2 linked regions of the Oreochromis niloticus genome follow. The protein of the gene in region 2 binds, or shares a complex with, the protein of the main gene of each other region. Links are inferred from orthologs where the notes say so. Each region holds a gene or a part of one and is shown on either strand. Other genes may lie near its edges.

Evidence for each region. Proteins that work in one complex are often made in the same cells at the same time.
Region 1: the proteins of map3k3 (region 2) and ccm2 are in contact, whole or in part, in a crystal structure (PDB 4Y5O), measured with the Homo sapiens proteins. The link is inferred for Oreochromis niloticus from reciprocal best matches to the Homo sapiens genes MAP3K3 and CCM2. Residues at the interface, in NP_002392.2 of Homo sapiens: Asp2, Glu3, Gln4, Ala6, Leu7, Ser9, Ile10, Met11, Asn12, Asp13, Leu14, Val15, Ala16, Leu17, Glu50, Asp82, His84, Met86, Asn88, Glu89, Leu90, Ser91, Ile92, Leu93, Arg117, Leu119, Leu121, Ser122, Gln123, Asp124; in NP_113631.1 of Homo sapiens: Leu299, Tyr302, Met303, Leu306, Arg307, Ser312, Gln313, Ile315, Gln316, Gln317, Phe318, Ala319, Ala320, Leu321, Leu322, His323, Glu324, Arg326, Glu333, Ile336, Asn337, Gln340, Leu341, Leu353, Phe356, Pro358.

The regions. Positions count from the first base shown.
Region 1 is NC_031980.2:8,442,095-8,450,061, reverse strand, and holds the start of ccm2 (cerebral cavernous malformations protein 2 homolog), read left to right. Parts: upstream 1-4,792; 5' UTR 4,793-5,177; coding exon 5,178-5,207; intron 5,208-7,967. UniProt on the Homo sapiens protein: Component of the CCM signaling pathway which is a crucial regulator of heart and vessel formation and integrity. May act through the stabilization of endothelial cell junctions. May function as a scaffold protein for MAP2K3-MAP3K3 signaling.
Region 2 is NC_031969.2:28,854,078-28,862,000, forward strand, and holds the start of map3k3 (mitogen-activated protein kinase kinase kinase 3), read left to right. Parts: upstream 1-4,887; 5' UTR 4,888-5,424; intron 5,425-5,639; 5' UTR 5,640-6,304; intron 6,305-7,923. UniProt on the Homo sapiens protein: Component of a protein kinase signal transduction cascade. Mediates activation of the NF-kappa-B, AP1 and DDIT3 transcriptional regulators.

The sequences.
Region 1 (7,967 bases), on a different chromosome or scaffold from region 2:
AATGATTAGCTAGAAGCCAGATAATAAGCGGATTTTATGTATTTTTCTTTCAATTATACACGGGTCTCAAGAGCTAAGCTACACACAGGTTTAAGCGGGAGGAGGAAGTATACTATTTCGTGTAGCATTCAGGCTGCCACACTTTATACCATAAACAAGGTCACAGAGAAATCCCTCGCACAGGACAGTTTCTGTTAGGTTACCTTCCAAACACCACATCGTCCGAGAGCCACAAAACACAGCAAGAGGATTTGAACAGCAAAGCTTGCTCTTCTCAGTCCTTGTTGTGCCTTGTTACTTTGGGTGCTTCGAACCAGCCATGGCAGCCAGGTCCGCAAACAACAAATGCCAATGTCTTTCTTTACTTGTTTCATGTGCCAGCACACCCACCAAGATGATAACACCAAACAATATTCTTCCTGTCTGTGACCCCTTCCCCCCCCCTAAACCAGATCAAGCCAGGTTCCCAATTCTGTGAGCTAACACCTCCGTTGACAGTGCTATTTAGTCTTACAGTTTCATCTAAGATGTCATCTTGAGGACTGCGCTGTTTCCTCATTATGATGTTACATCTGGACTTTAATGTGTGACAGAATCAAGTGATGGGTATTGTGTGAAACCCAGTAATTGGTTATGTCAAAGACACAGGAGAAAAAGTAAGGCAACACTGAACATCTTCTGTACTTGAACCCAGGGTTCCTCATCTTTTCGAGTATGACGCCAACCACAGCTGATTCGGCGAGTAACAATATAACAGTTAATAGTCAGTTTAAAATCGTTAGTTCTGAAGTGTTTGATGGAGAGTCACGGTCGCAGATAACCAGCCAAGATACCGAAAGATTTGGCCAATGATTGTTTTTGTACTTTCGTCTATGCCTTTACATCTTCTTCTGTCTTGCAGTTATGAATGATTTGTAGTGCCAAGGCGTAAACTTTCTGTGTCGTTTTCTGTGTCTTGTGTGAACAATACGTCCTCTAGCCAAAACAAAAATGCCTGCGTTTAGAATACAACGTGGAAGAAACTGATGACAAAAAGCGCAAAAAATCAGTTGTTACGTCTTCTTACTATGGAATGATCACGAAACAGGCCCAATCACTGCTTCTCTTTTGAATAACCTCATTTCCTGGATTTTCTACCACCTCCCAGCATGCCTTTATAACTCATCGTGAGGTGACCCTCAGCATTTAGCATGCAAGTGCTCTCGACTGCACAAGAAACCCTCTGATTTTTGCATTAATGTGTAGCAACAGGCCATTGTAGTGTTTGACCTGGTTCGAGTCTATACCTTTGTGTCATGACCATCCGTTTGGCCACAGGGGCAGAATGTTCAGATGTTAAAAAACGGTGCATTTTCGTTCTCTTTTTAAAAAAAACTTTTGTTCCTTCTTTACGTTTTTGTTCATAACCTGGTGCTGAATAAATACATTTAAAAAGGTGCTACCGCTGTGGACTAAGAGTCCACTCTTTGGCTTTAGCCTTCCAGTTGACTGAGAGATCCTGCATATCACAAACGTGCAGTCTCAAAATGCTCTACAGCCAGCACCTCAAATCCACACAGTTTACAGCAGAACTCAGCTCTCAGTGGTGCCATTTTGATTTCCCAGTCTGCACAAAAAAACAAAAAAAACAATAGTTACTCTACTGCTCATATAAGATTTATTCTACTGGGTTCCGCATACAGTACGTTTTTGTTTTACTATAATTCAGTCTGCACTAGGATTTTTTCTTTTCGGACAGAATGAAAATGGCAGATGACAAAATGCATCTTTTTAGCAAATACACAGGAGCACAAATGTACTTCTGCTACTGGAATTTGGGTAAAATATATATATATAGAACGTGATTGCTGTGTTGTAAATTCCTGTCATCTATATGTCCTTAATCTGTGTGTATCTATTTCTGTTGTTATTGTAGAATTGGCTGTAATATTTTGTTTGAAAATGGATTTGATATTCCAACGAAGCGACTATGGTTGTCATATTAATTGCTGCTGATTTTTTGGAATCGTTATCAAAGGTGTTGGGAAATATTGCTTTGTTTATATTCAATCAATTTATAGGTTGTGTTAGCTTGTTGGTGTATTTCACAAATCTATCAGGATACTCCCTAGGCTATATGGTATATCCGGGGTATTCCAAAAGTTGGCACAATGTTAGTACTCAAAATTTGCTACGAAATGTAGCATGTTTATGAAAGTGGACCCATACGACCCATGTTGTGATTGAGTACATATAAGGAATGATTTCTTTGTTGTTGTTAAATATAAAATGTAAGTAAATTGTTTCATGGAATCCCCATTCTTTAAAAAAAAGAAGAAGAAGCAAAACTGATGTCCAGTATTGTACCTACGCCCTATTTTTGGGAACAATATGAATATTATTAATAACATATGGTGCTAAAGTTTTTTTTGTATGTTTTGGTTTTTAGATGAAAAGAGAAATATTATGCTGAAAATGTAATGTTAAGCCTTACTGTAGATTCATATATCAGACTGTTCATCCCAGAAGAGAAAAATAAATATAGTATTTGAAAGTGCACTATATATCGGTAATGTCTTCACATGCATGTCTCACATTTTTGTCAGATGACTGTGACTGCAGTCGGACTTAGAATAGAATAGAATATTGTCACTATACGGTTGTACAATGAGATACAGAGCGTCTCCTACTCAGTGCAAACATGCTGGGGGTGGGGGGGGGCACAGTTCTGTAGCACTATATACATATGGACAGTATTAACAGAGGGAAAGAAATATATATAAAATGTACAAATATACAAGCTGGTTTTAAAAAAGTTATATGTAATAAATAGTGTTATGTATATACAGTTGGGTTATTGCACATAGAATTTGGTATTGCACAGTGGTGGTTCACTTTTTTACCAGCTGGGGTAAGAAAGGAAAAGCTGTTTTTGAACATGACCCACATAGGTTGGGATTAGTAAGTAACAGTAAGTACAACTGTATGTTCAAGAAATGCTTCACAGTAGAAATGTACATCCTTTAGTTGAGCTTGTTTAAACCCTGCAATGGCAATGAACCCTGAGAATGAACCCTTACTTAAATATACTGTTTGGTAATTCCAGTAATTCAATTTTTCATACTGGGCTGAAAATAACAGGCTCTCCGGAATACAAGACAAAATGCAATACTTTTGCAGATCCACTGCAACTAAATCAAGTAAGTGTATCTTCATGTTTGAACTTGGACTGTTAAAGACAACTGGTAAAAAAACAGTCTTTAATTTTTATGGAGATACGCAAAATATCAACTAACACTCCAGAAAAAAAAAACACATTACACAAAAGGTAAAAATTGATTTGTATGTTATTGAGTTAAATAAGTATTTGATCCCCAAGCAATTCAATTCCATTTTATTTATATTGTGCAAAATCACATCAACTTTGAGTTTCCCATAAGGAGCTAAGCAAAACATGGCTTACTTGGTGGGGAAACCCTTTTTGGCAAGGATGGAGGTAAGACTTTTCTTGTATAGCTGGTCACTCAGGAGGAATTTTGGCCCACTCCTCTTCACAGAAACTCTCTAAATCCTTTAGGTTTCTAAATAAATTCAGTCATTTTTAAATGTTTCATTTTAAAAAAAAACCAAAATCGATCAATATGTAAATATTAAACTACTGGAGTCAAGACGTTTCCATCGATGACAGCCCATTCACAGACACTTGTGTAATTTGCCTGTAGCATGAAGTCATAGCTCATGCACAGGTATACAGCTTTAATTCTGTGCACACAGAAATGTTTGATTTACAGTTGTTTAACACTCTTAATACATACATAATTCTGTACAGTGAGGGTCAAAGATCTAAGAGAAGAAACCGCTGGAAATTTAATTAGAGAAAGAAATCACTGATGACCAGTTCCTCACAGAAAAAATACAGCAAAGAATAGCCTTCACCTGCTTTATTCACCTGTTTGGGAAAACAGAGCCTAAGTACCACCATTGAGCTGTCCCTCTGATATAATCCTTTCTAATCCTGCTCCTCCTCATCACTCCCGGCAAAAACTTTAGCATCTTTAACTTTGCAACCTACACCTCTGCTTCCTGTCTTTCTGTCAGTGCCACTGGCTGTAAACCATGCATCATAGCAGGTCTTACAGCTGCGTCACAAATCACCCCTGACACTCACCTCCACCCACTACACCATGGCCGTACTCTCATTTTTCCCTATTTTGTTCATTGCCTGTTGCTTTGAATGGCTGACCCCTGGTATTTAAACTCAAGCAGCTTAACTACCTCTACTCATATTTACTCATATCTACACCTCTACTCGTGCATATTCACCTTTGCAACTGCCCCTCTCATCGACACACATGTATTCTCTCGTTTCCACCGACTTTCATTGCTCTTTTCTCCAGTGGAATTAATACAATAAAAAAGAAGAATATTTTAAAAAATTCGGATAACTAAAAACTCTCAGAGTCATCAGCTGTTAGTCAATCTAATCTCTGATGACTTCACGTCAGTGGGGTATTGTTTAAAAATCCAGCGAGATTTGTTTTTGACAAAGAAGGCTCAAACTCGACTTTAATTGAATAAATCCCGGGCAAAGAGGAGTACATATGAAGCAGTAAACGTAAAGCATTAAAAACAACGAAGAGACCTACCAGTTATATAAAACGCAAACACCCTCTAAACTGAGCTGAGATTATGTGTTTCCATAATTCATTTTTCACTGCAGTTAATTGCAAATTACTCCGTTCGTGAAGTTGGTTTCTCCCATCAGCCGGCAGCACTGACAGCTGTAAAGCACAACAGCTGCCCTGTTTTGGTTTGTGCAAACCAAAGCAAGGCATGCTGGGCCTGGATTACAGTTAAACGCCCAAAATGGCGGCACAGTTGAAAAGTTTTGACTGTTTTGTTGGAGTTTGTCTTCTTCACAAACTATTTCTTTGACTGTTTAAACTGCACGAAATCGGCTTCATTTTTTCCACAATGGTGGGGCACCGGGATTTTTTCTAATGGTTGAAGAGTTACACAAGAATTAGCATGGCGTTTTGGTATCAGCTCAAAATCGGGCATCACTTTGCCAATGCTAGGCTTGGCTAAGCTAGGCTAGCAAGCTAACTGGTCTTAGATGAGTGCTTGGCTAAAACCTTCACGTCTCACCTGGGTCTATAAGCTGAAGTGAATATGAAGATGAAAATCTTTCCATAGAAATGGAGGATGATGTGAAAAAAGTAAAAAAGGTAAGTTGGACAATTTGCGCACTTTTATAGCAGATTGACTACCTGCTACCTTATTAGCTAAGCTAGCTGAGCTGGTAACTGGCTAAGATAAGTAGCAAACTATCAAGTAAAGTTTAGCTTACGTTAGCTGACCAGCGGACTGGGGAATCAATCCCAATACGACTCGGACTGATAGACTGTGCTTTCAACCAGCCGGCGTCACTTATAAATGAATAGAATGTGCAACGTACCGAAAGGATTATAGTAAGAAACAAGTAAAGTTTGGGAAGTTGTAAGGGATTTGCTCGCTTTATATTTTCGTGCGCTTAAATATAGTGGATGTTCGTTATGGAAAATATGGTGTATTAACAATTAGGCGAATATATTATTAGATATTGGGCTTTAAACAGCGAGCTTGATGCTGGTATACCTCAGTGATATTGTTCACCAAAAAGCTAATGAAAGCACAACCGAGTTTTCCAAAGTAATAGCTCGTTGATATGGCAGGCATGGGTCTGCTGTCAAAGGCAGCTGTTATCAGTGTCAGTCATGCTAAAAGGAAGAAGCACCGCTTGGTCGTGCCAACAATCCTGCCCTCACACAGTGATACACTGATACAGTACATGCTCCCGTTTGATATGGAGGCAGGTCGTTACAGTAAACACACGCAGCAGATAGTTGTTTGGGAGACACTCCTTTTATCCTGTTCATTAGAGCAGACACAGGGAAGGCTATTGCTCCTGTTCTGTTGGCTGGAACAGGAAGAAACGGGATGGCAGGACATGAAAAAGAAGCATAATGAAAACTGAGATGTCTGACGCTTTGTTATGATTGTGTTAGTCATTCAGTAGTTTTTTCCACAAAAGGGACACTAATCCGTCTTCCTATCTAATTCAGCTTCCTCTTGATGCAAGGGGAAATTTGGGAAGAAATCCAGTGATAACCTAGATGGTTTGTTTTCTCAAGGACATGGTTTTCCAGCAATGATAACATACCAGAATGTGCACATAGCCCGATAAGACATAATTTCCACTGAACCTTACACCCAAAATATCTGATCACTAATGATTGTCCAGACTCCAGTAGGATGCTTTTTAACCACAATTTTGTAATGTCATTATGTGGAAGTTGCTTTTTACTTCTCATTGCAAATCTGCATTATGAGTGGACAGTGTTCAAACAGCTGATCACCTATTTACCATGTGGTGCAATGTTACTAGAGTTTAAAAATTTAAACATGAGTAGTGCAGTTCCTGTTTGTACCACTTGGTGCTGACTGTGGATTACATTTGGCTGAGATTTATTTTATGGAAAAGCTCAGTTGCACAAGTCGATAAAGTGTTGCTATTATTCTTCTGACTGATACATTAATGGATCCTCCTTGTTAGTATATTTGTCAGATAGCGAGGCATTAAGGCAGGTATTCTGCAAGCAAAGTCTAGGTTAAAAATTACCGGTGTGTGCCTTAGTGGAACATTATAGTGTGAATGCTGAAAATGCGCATTGTTTTGAGTTTCTGTCATCCCTGATGGGATGAACTGCTGTTTCATCCCCTTAGAATTATACGTTTCTTTATGGATTCTAACCAGTTTTGAGATATTATGTTTTCAAGTTTTTGCAGTCCACATCGCAAAAATTACATGTGGAATAAGTCTTACTCACATATGATTATGACACACACCCTACATGTATTTTAAATCTATAGTCTTGAACACTATCAAATTTATAAAGCTTTTGAACAAGTGAAATGCAGATAAACCTTTTAATTCTACCAACTGTTTTTTTTCTTTGGAAACATTAGGTTCTTTTTACAACATGTGAAATCAGATTTTCAAGTAATTATAAATGGTTAACTTATAATTAGTTTTAAAATGTACAATTAGTAATGTAACAGTCTCCACAAGTATGATTAAATCAAATGTAATGCATTCTGTGACAAGACAATGCTTAAAAAAGTGGCATCTTTTCAATGAATAAATGAATGAATGAATAGAAATTGTAAAAAAAAAAGAAACACATTTCAATACCCTCATGCTAGCCAACTGAGCACCAGACTCATTTCATTTCTCCAATCAAAATCTTTCTGGTTTCAACATGTCATCAAGTTCTTATTGGCTCGTAGATAGCACCTTTTAATGCAAAGTTAAAGAATCCTTTTGCAGAAACACTTTTTTTTCAAAGTTGCAATTGAAAAGTTAAAAATTAAATACTTGCATTATTTTTAAGTTGTCAGAGAATAAGAATATTAGAATAAGTAAGGTTTGACAAAAGTGTCAGATTGGACCTTATGATTCTAAAGGGGACACAATGAAGATTACACCTTTTATGAATATTTCATGCAGAAATTCTGGTAAACCTCAAGGGTCCTCAAACTTTTTCTACAACTGTATATGGTAATGTTCTTGAATACTTGACTGTGAATGGTTCATTCATGAGCAAAAGATGATTATTTGTAGGATTTGGTTGTTATTCTTAGGCCGAGTTTCTGAATAGGTCTCAGTGAATTGGCCGACTTAGCCGGTTATTTTCCCTCTCTGAGAATGCTGGCTTCTCTTACAGCTGGTCTAGGTTTTCTTGCATTGTTTTGAAGTAAATGTGAAAGTCTATCTATACTCATTATTGTCACACCCCACAGAAACTATGCAGTTTCCTCATTTATATGTATTTTATAAATAAAAACACACATCAGCTTGTGGCCATTTATGGGGTCAACCATAGTCTCACATTTCACAAGTAAAGGCCATAAAATGTTAATGTCCTTCAGTAGTTGCATACTATTAA
Region 2 (7,923 bases):
AGTTTGTGATTAGTAAACATTCCCCACTGTGCTGTACCCTTGTCATGCACATATATCTACACACGATCACCAGACAAAAGGTTAATTATGGCAGGGAAGCTGAGCTTTAGTATGTAAACATCCCTCCATCTGTCCTATGACACATTTTAAGAGGAATTGTAAACACCTGGATAAATTGATTATTGCATGTATGCTATAAATGAGGATGTTGATGGACAGAGCTTAGGTCTCACAGTGTGTTGCTTCATAATTTCATGCTTGTCAGCTTGTTGTTGTCTTGTGATGAAGTTTTAAAAGCTGTATTATAGCGACATAAACATCCAGTCACTCTGTCCTGAACCCCTGAGTCCTTTTTCAGTTAATGCCTTCTGGTTCTCCTGTCTTATTTGCTAAATGCAACTGGACCTATTTCTTAATATAAATGTTACAATGTTACAATAGATGGATGGATAGTTTGTCACATATATGGGCACCTTGATGTGTGGCTGCATGCAAAAGCCAGTGCAGAGCACCCCCTGCTGGGAAAAGTGTGACAATAGCATCTCACATGAGAGGATAAAACTATAACTTGCCCATGATTTGAGTATAGCCTTTTATTTTCAAGTTTTTGAGTAGGATCAGCAGCTAGCCGAGCCAACAGCTTCTTTTGATCTTATTTAGTTTTAACATGTAAGAACAATTAATTCAGTGTAGATTTCCATGGTTTTATTTCATTCTGTACAAAGGATAACTCCAAAGCCATTAAATCATCACATTTTAGAAAATACCACTGACACTTGAATGGCACAAAGTACTTTCTGTGACTGAAGGTTTACTGTTAATTTGAGCTTGTTGTGCAGAATAGGAAGCAAAACAGATGGACTTTTTTTTTTAAAGAGAAGCCTTAGAAGACAAAGAGCTGACCTTATTGCTTTTTCAAAACACCTTTGAATGCACAGATCTTTACAACAAAATCTTGTGATCATGCCTTTTTAAAAACAGATCTGGTTATTGTAGAGTCCAACTCTTTAACAAAGGATTACTTCACTCAACCAGCAGCCATTTTTCCCCACCTAACCATCTTTATTCACATGTACAAAAGTTCTAATTCTACTATGTGTGAACATGTATGTTTTCTTTATGTCATTTTAAAACGGCCCTCTGGATCCCAGAGAATGCTTTAAAAATCAAGAGAATTGTATCTAAAAATGCTGTGTTTGTCATTCTCTGTTAGCAGTTCGCCAAGGTACAACTGCAAAATCTGTGAATTGCAATGTCCAAGTCTAATAGAGCAGACAAGGTACACTTTACACTGGTGCCACAAGGCTCAGGTGAATGATTGCAGTGTGACGTTTTATTGTTAAATCTGTGAATCATTTCATTTCTGTGCTACACTTGATGTGGAATTCCTTTTTTATTGCCGTTGTCATCAAGACATTTTAAATGTATGCATCTTTGAAAGTGTATTCTATATTACAGACATGACCTGTGGATTGAGGTGGCCTTACAGCAAAAGGATGCTTGGACTGTATGCAGTCTTTCTCCTCTCTTCCTCCTCCTCTCTCTTGCTTAGTTGTAGTATGGTACATTTTAAAATGTGAGCGCCCTCTTTCTACGCCAATATACACAATCATTTGTGCATATTTTTGTTTTTATTTTTTTTTACATGCTTTTGGAAAAAAATAAATAAATAAAATGCTGGTGTTGATTTAACACACTGAGTTTTACATTGTCTTTATTTGCATTTTATTTGTGGTGAAATACTTCAATCTAATAAAGTTTAGCTGTAATGGAAGTAATCCAAAAGGTAATTGGTTACATTTAAGTACAACTTTGAAGTACTTGATACACTACACTTATATTCCAATACAGTGCAGTGAAAAGTACTGCCCATCTTCCTCTGCAACATTTAGATTTATATTACAGCTTTTTTGTAATATTTTGTAATATATTTTGTTTTTGAATGTGGCTTAGTTAGTTACTGTTCTTACTGGAGCAACTTTGACCACAAAATATCTGGAATTAACAAAGTATTCTGATTATGAATATAGAACTGTCACGGCTGCAAAGCCGGTGTGTTAAAGGAACGGACCCAAAATCAGAGACGGGAGAAAACGAACTAAGTTTAAGACAAAGTGAGCCGTTTATTTGGCTGAAAAACATGAATACAAAATCCAAAGCAAAACAAACAGTAGCGAAAACAAAACTAAAACCTAAACTGAAAAGACTGGACTATAACAGCTATAACCAAAGAGAACATGAACATGATTATGAGCAGGAGCATGAGAGAAGGTATAGGACCCCTCAAAAAAAAAAAACCGTGAACTTGAAACATGAACATGCCCTGAACAGAATCATGGAAAACACTTAAAACCTGATGTGGAGGAAGGAAAACAGACAACCTGACAAAGACTGAACGAAAACACACAGACTAAATACACACAAGAGGTGATCAGGGGAAGTGGAAACACATGGGAAAACAGCTGACTGGAATGAACATAATGACAAAACACAATGAACATGGAAACACCCGACTCTTCAAAATAAAACAGGAAACATTGAGAGATGTAGACATGACAGCACAAGCTTGGCAATATGGAACACACAACAGACATAAGACATATGACAGGCTAGGGAGACATGGAACGCCAGAAGAGACACATAAGAATGGATAAAGGAGATGAGAGCACGGGCATAACTAAAGGTAAAACACTAAGGACAAGACAACTACATAGAGGACAGAAAAAGACTCATAACTCAGGAAATGTAGGTGAAACAAAAACAAGATTAAAACTCAACTAAATCCTAACTAATAATAACAACAACACAAGAACTTAATTTTCAATATAATATAAGAAATCAAAAATACAAAATAGACTCAAAATGCTGAGTCACAGATTTTGAATATATAAATGTTCAAATATATGAAGCAAGATATATGGAATTATGTAGCAAAGAAAAAAATCATAAATAACTCTAAATATGTTTTATATTATAGATTCCTGAAAGTAGCCACTCCTTTGCTTTGTTGACAGCACAGCAAACTCTTGGCCTCTCAATGAGCTTCATGATGTAGTCACCTGAAATGGTTTTCACTTCACAGGTGGGCCTTGTCAGGGTATATTTGTGGAATTTCTTGCCTTCTTAATGGGGTTGGGATCGTCAGTTGTGTTGTGCAGAAGTCAGGTTAATACACAGCTGACAGCCCTATCTGACAACTGTTAGAATTCATATTATGGCGAGAACCAATCAGCTAAGTAAAGAGAAGAGATAGTCCATCATTACTTTAAGAACTGAAGGTCAATCACTCTGGAAAATTGGTAAAACTTTGAATGTGTCCCCAAGTGCAGCGGCAAAAACCATCAAGCATTACAATGAAACTGATTCACATGAGGACCAGCCCAGGAAAGGAAGACTAAGAGTCATCTCTGCTGCTGAGAATAAATTCATCCAAGTCACCAGCCTCAGAAATCCCAAGTTAACAGCTCCTCAGGTTACAGACCAGATAAATGCCACACAGAGTTCCAGCAGCAGACAGATCTCTCCATCAACTGTTTAGAGGAGACTGTGCGAATCAGGGCTTTATGGTCAAATAGCTGCTAAGAAACCACTATTAAGGAAAAGCAACAAACAAAGAGATTTGTTCGGGCCAAGAAAGACAAGGAATGGACATTAAACCAGTGGAAATCTGTGCTTTGGTCTGATGAGTCTAAATCTGAGATCTTTGGTTCCACCCGCAGTGTCTTTGTGCAACACAGAAAAGGTGAACGGATGGTCTCTACATGCATGGTCCCCACTGTGAAGCACAGAGGAGGCGATATAGTGGTGTGGGGGGACTTTGCTGGCAACACTGTTGGGGATCTATTCAAAATTGAAGACACACTGAACCAGCATGGCTACCACAGCATCCTGCAGCGACATGCCATCCCATCCGGTTTGCATTTAGTTGGACCATCATTTATTTTTCAACAGGAAAATGACCCCAAACACAGCTCCAGGTCGGTAAGGGCTATTTGACCAAGAAAGAGAGTGATGGATTGCTGCCTGGCCCCTACAGTCACTTGACCTAAACCCAAATTATATGATTTAAGACGAGATGGACCGCAGAGTGAAGTCAAAAGGGCAAAAAACTGCTCATCATCTCTGGAAACTCCTTCAAGACTGTTGGAAAACCGTTTCAGGTGACTATCTCATGAAGCTCACCGAGAGAATGTTAAAAGTGTCCAAAGCAGTAATCAAAGCAAAGGGTGGCTATTTTCAAGAATCTATAGTATAAAACACGTTTTGAGTTATTTCACACTTTTTTGTTTACTGCATAATTCCATATGTGCTCATTTGTAGTTTTGATGCCTTCAGGGAGAATCTACAGTGTAAATAGTCATGAAAATAAAGAAAAACAATTAAATGAAAAGGTGTGTCCAAACCTTTGACTGGTGTGTGTGTGTGTGTGTGTGTGTGTGTGTGTGTGTGTGCGCGCGCACACGTGTTTCTGATTCTTTTAGATAAATTGCATATATTGTATAATTGTTGCATTACACTGCGCAATAAATGTTTCAAATACATGCCGCGCAACAATAATCCTATGATATAATGAAGTACAACCCGTTGACCTTTTTACATAAGTATTCCACTCCCTCCAGGTCCAGTACTGCTGAAACCAAAATAAAATGAAAATACTTGACTTCAAATACTTCACGTTAGATTATTCTAACGTGTCATTTAAATTCAATTAGGGAATGCACGTTATTGTTCACTCTTAAAGGAAAACATTGGATGACTTAGACGGATGAGGACTGTTAAGTTAAAAGCTGTGAATTTCGGATTTTCCAACTCTTTTTCACGGCAGCAAACGCTTCACGACGTCACAGCTGGTCCGCCCCTCCAATAATATTGTGCGCGCTCCAGAAAGAAGACTTCCACCGAGTAACAGCGCGTCCCCGCGGCTGCACGGCTCTAATTTAGATAGTTTAGGAGTCAGAAATCCCCCCGGGAATAAATCATCGTTATTACCAGCGTTTGGATGGCGGACAGTGAAGCATCTGGGAAACATGGATACAACCTTTGCGAGCCGTTTTCATGACTTGTTGGAAGCATAAAAGCTGGTTCCGGTGGCGATATTTTTTCTGTCAGGAAGTTTGACGTATTCAGCTGAAGATTATTTCTTGCTTTGTTTTGGTTCGGAAAAGTTGTGGACGACCGCTGGCTCCTCTCAACAAACGACATCTTTGTTACTGTCGCTGAAAACAGACCGAGCTCGTCTAATTTATGTTTTTTTTTTTTGTTTATTTGTTTGTTTTTAAATATCAGTTTGCTGTTTATATGAATACTCCAGGATCTACAATTTTAGAGTCTGCAGCCCTGCGAAGTCTAAACATCGATGGACTTTATCCTACTTGGCTTCGCATGACATAACGCATCTGGTTAAAGTATATAATAAACTCAAAGGTAGTACTTTTTTCTGCCAATGTCCCTTTAGTCTGTGTTATTTTTAAGTCTGAACTCAGCTCGGTGCTCTCTCAATTAAATTCATCTGCACATTTTTATAGGCCAGATCGGCCTTCGTGTGTTCTTGCCTGATTATGTTTATATCATCATTCACGTTGCAATGCGATGCAGTTATGTGCAATGCAGCAATGAGAATAAAAACATCTTCTGCCTAGAATATTTTGGATTCAAACCTGGAACCACGGTCGAGGGAAATCTGCAAACTTAGCAGGAAGAGAGGCCATCAGAATCACGGAAATCGTACGGTCTTTCCTCTGGCGAGCTGCTACCCACAAATGGATTTCATACAGGCCATACGGTTACTGTTACACTTTGGTTTGGCAGTTTTTGTTCGTATTTAACACTGTAATGGGACACGGCTCTGAATACATTTCTAAATTCATCGATTTTTAGTGTGACTTCTAAAGATGTTTTGGAAATTTAAGTTTTCCAAGGATCCGAGGCTACAACGGCGCAAAAGTTTGCCTCTGGGCCACAGCTGGAGCTGTTTGATGTAGGTTTTCCCATCGGAACATTTTCTCTGTGAGGCTTACAGCTGCCTCATGTGACCGTGCTTGTTTTTACAACCTGGAAAGAATCGGTTTGTGTGTGTGATCTAACTTTCCGTTAAAGAAGACAAGCCCTGGTACCTGGGGGGGTCAGCCCCGCCGATGGCACCTTTACATTCACTCACACTCTTTGGTGTGTTGGTCTGACCGAGGACACTAATGGACGTTAACAACAGCTGGACCTACTGCGTCATTCCTGCCGCTAGACTACGGTGACCAGTCGGCTGTACGCGGGAGAACCTCGGTCCTGACCTGACCTGCTGAGACTACAGGTGAGGGTTGTGAGCTACACCTGAGAGTAGTGACAGGTGTAAATAATGCGCTGTGTTCAGTCGACAGGGAAAAAATGTGTCGGGATTATATATTTGAAATATTTTTTTTTTTTTTAGCTCTGTCTGCCAAAAACAGAAATGTAAGCTTTTCTAATTATTTACGTGGGTCGGTTTTATTGTTGTTGTTATTATTATTATTATTATTATTATTATTATTATTATTGTTATTATTATTATCATTATTATTATCATTATTGAATAGGCTATGTCCTTGAAATTATTTGTTTTGCTGAATTAGTTGAATAAAGTCTAAGAAATTGACGGTATAAAAAGCTGGGGGGAATTGAAAATTAATATAGATTGTAGTTGCTAATATTTTCTAAAAGTTTCCATTAAAAAAGGACTTGTCTGTGACCTCTTGTCTTAATCAGTCAGGGTTGAAAATGCCATCCAGCTTTCCACCTTTTTAATTGAGAAAAAATTTAAATTCATATTCCATAGTGAATATATAACAGCTGTGCTTACTAAATTTAATAGCTTATCTTCCTCGAGCATGTGTGTCATTCCATTCTGTTCCATTTTCTGTCGTGTATCCGGGTTCGGGTTGCGTGGGCAGCCATCTAAGCCTCCCTCTCCCTGGTCACCTACTCCAGTTCATCTGGGGGACTGCTGAGGCATTTCCAAGTCAGCCAAGACATTATCTCTCCAGTGTATGCTTTTTCTACCCTGGAGCCTTCTCCCAGTTTGGACATGCTCAAAAAAACCTTCCTAGGATGGGACCTGGAGGAATTCTAGTTAGATGCCCAAACCGCCTCAACTGGCTTTTATCAATATGGAGGAGTAGTGGCTCTAATGTGAGTCCTTCCCAAATCACTGAGCTCCTCATCTTTTCAATAAGGGAGAGCGTCAGGAAGTTTATTTCCACTGCAATCTCATTATTTGTTTTGGTCACTACCCAGAGGTCATGACTATAGGTGAGGGTAGGAATGTAGATCTGTGCTTTCAAACACAGCCCTCTATTCACCAAAACACCCTGATCACTACAGACACTGAGCCAATCTGTGTGTCTATCACTTGCGAACAAGACCTCGAGTTACTTAAATGCCTCCACTTGGGGCAGCAACTCGTCCCTGGCCTGGAGTCGGCACTCCACCCTTTTCTGGCTGAGGTTCATGTATTCAGACCTGGAGGTGCTGGTTCTCATTCCAGCTACTTCACACTTGCTTGCAAACCAACCCATGTTACGCTGGAGATCACTGCCTGATTAGGACGGAAAAACCACATCATCTGCAAAGAGCGGAGACGTGATCCTGAGACTGCCATAGCTGAAGCCCTCTGCCATGTGGCTATGCCTTAAAAATTCTATCCATAAAAGTCATAAACAGAATCTGCAACAAAGGGCCAGAAGAACTGCCCTAAACTTCCAAGTGATGCTGCAGAAGCATGTCAAACAAGACAGCCACAAGTTCAGAGTCTTAAGGAAGTCGGGGCAAATTTCATCCACTCCAGGGGCTCGACCTCTAAAGAGTTTTTGACTACTTCACTAAATCAGTCACAGTAATGGGCCAGTCACCCCTCCTTGTCCCCAGAGTTTGCTTCCACTACAGAAGGTGTGTCAG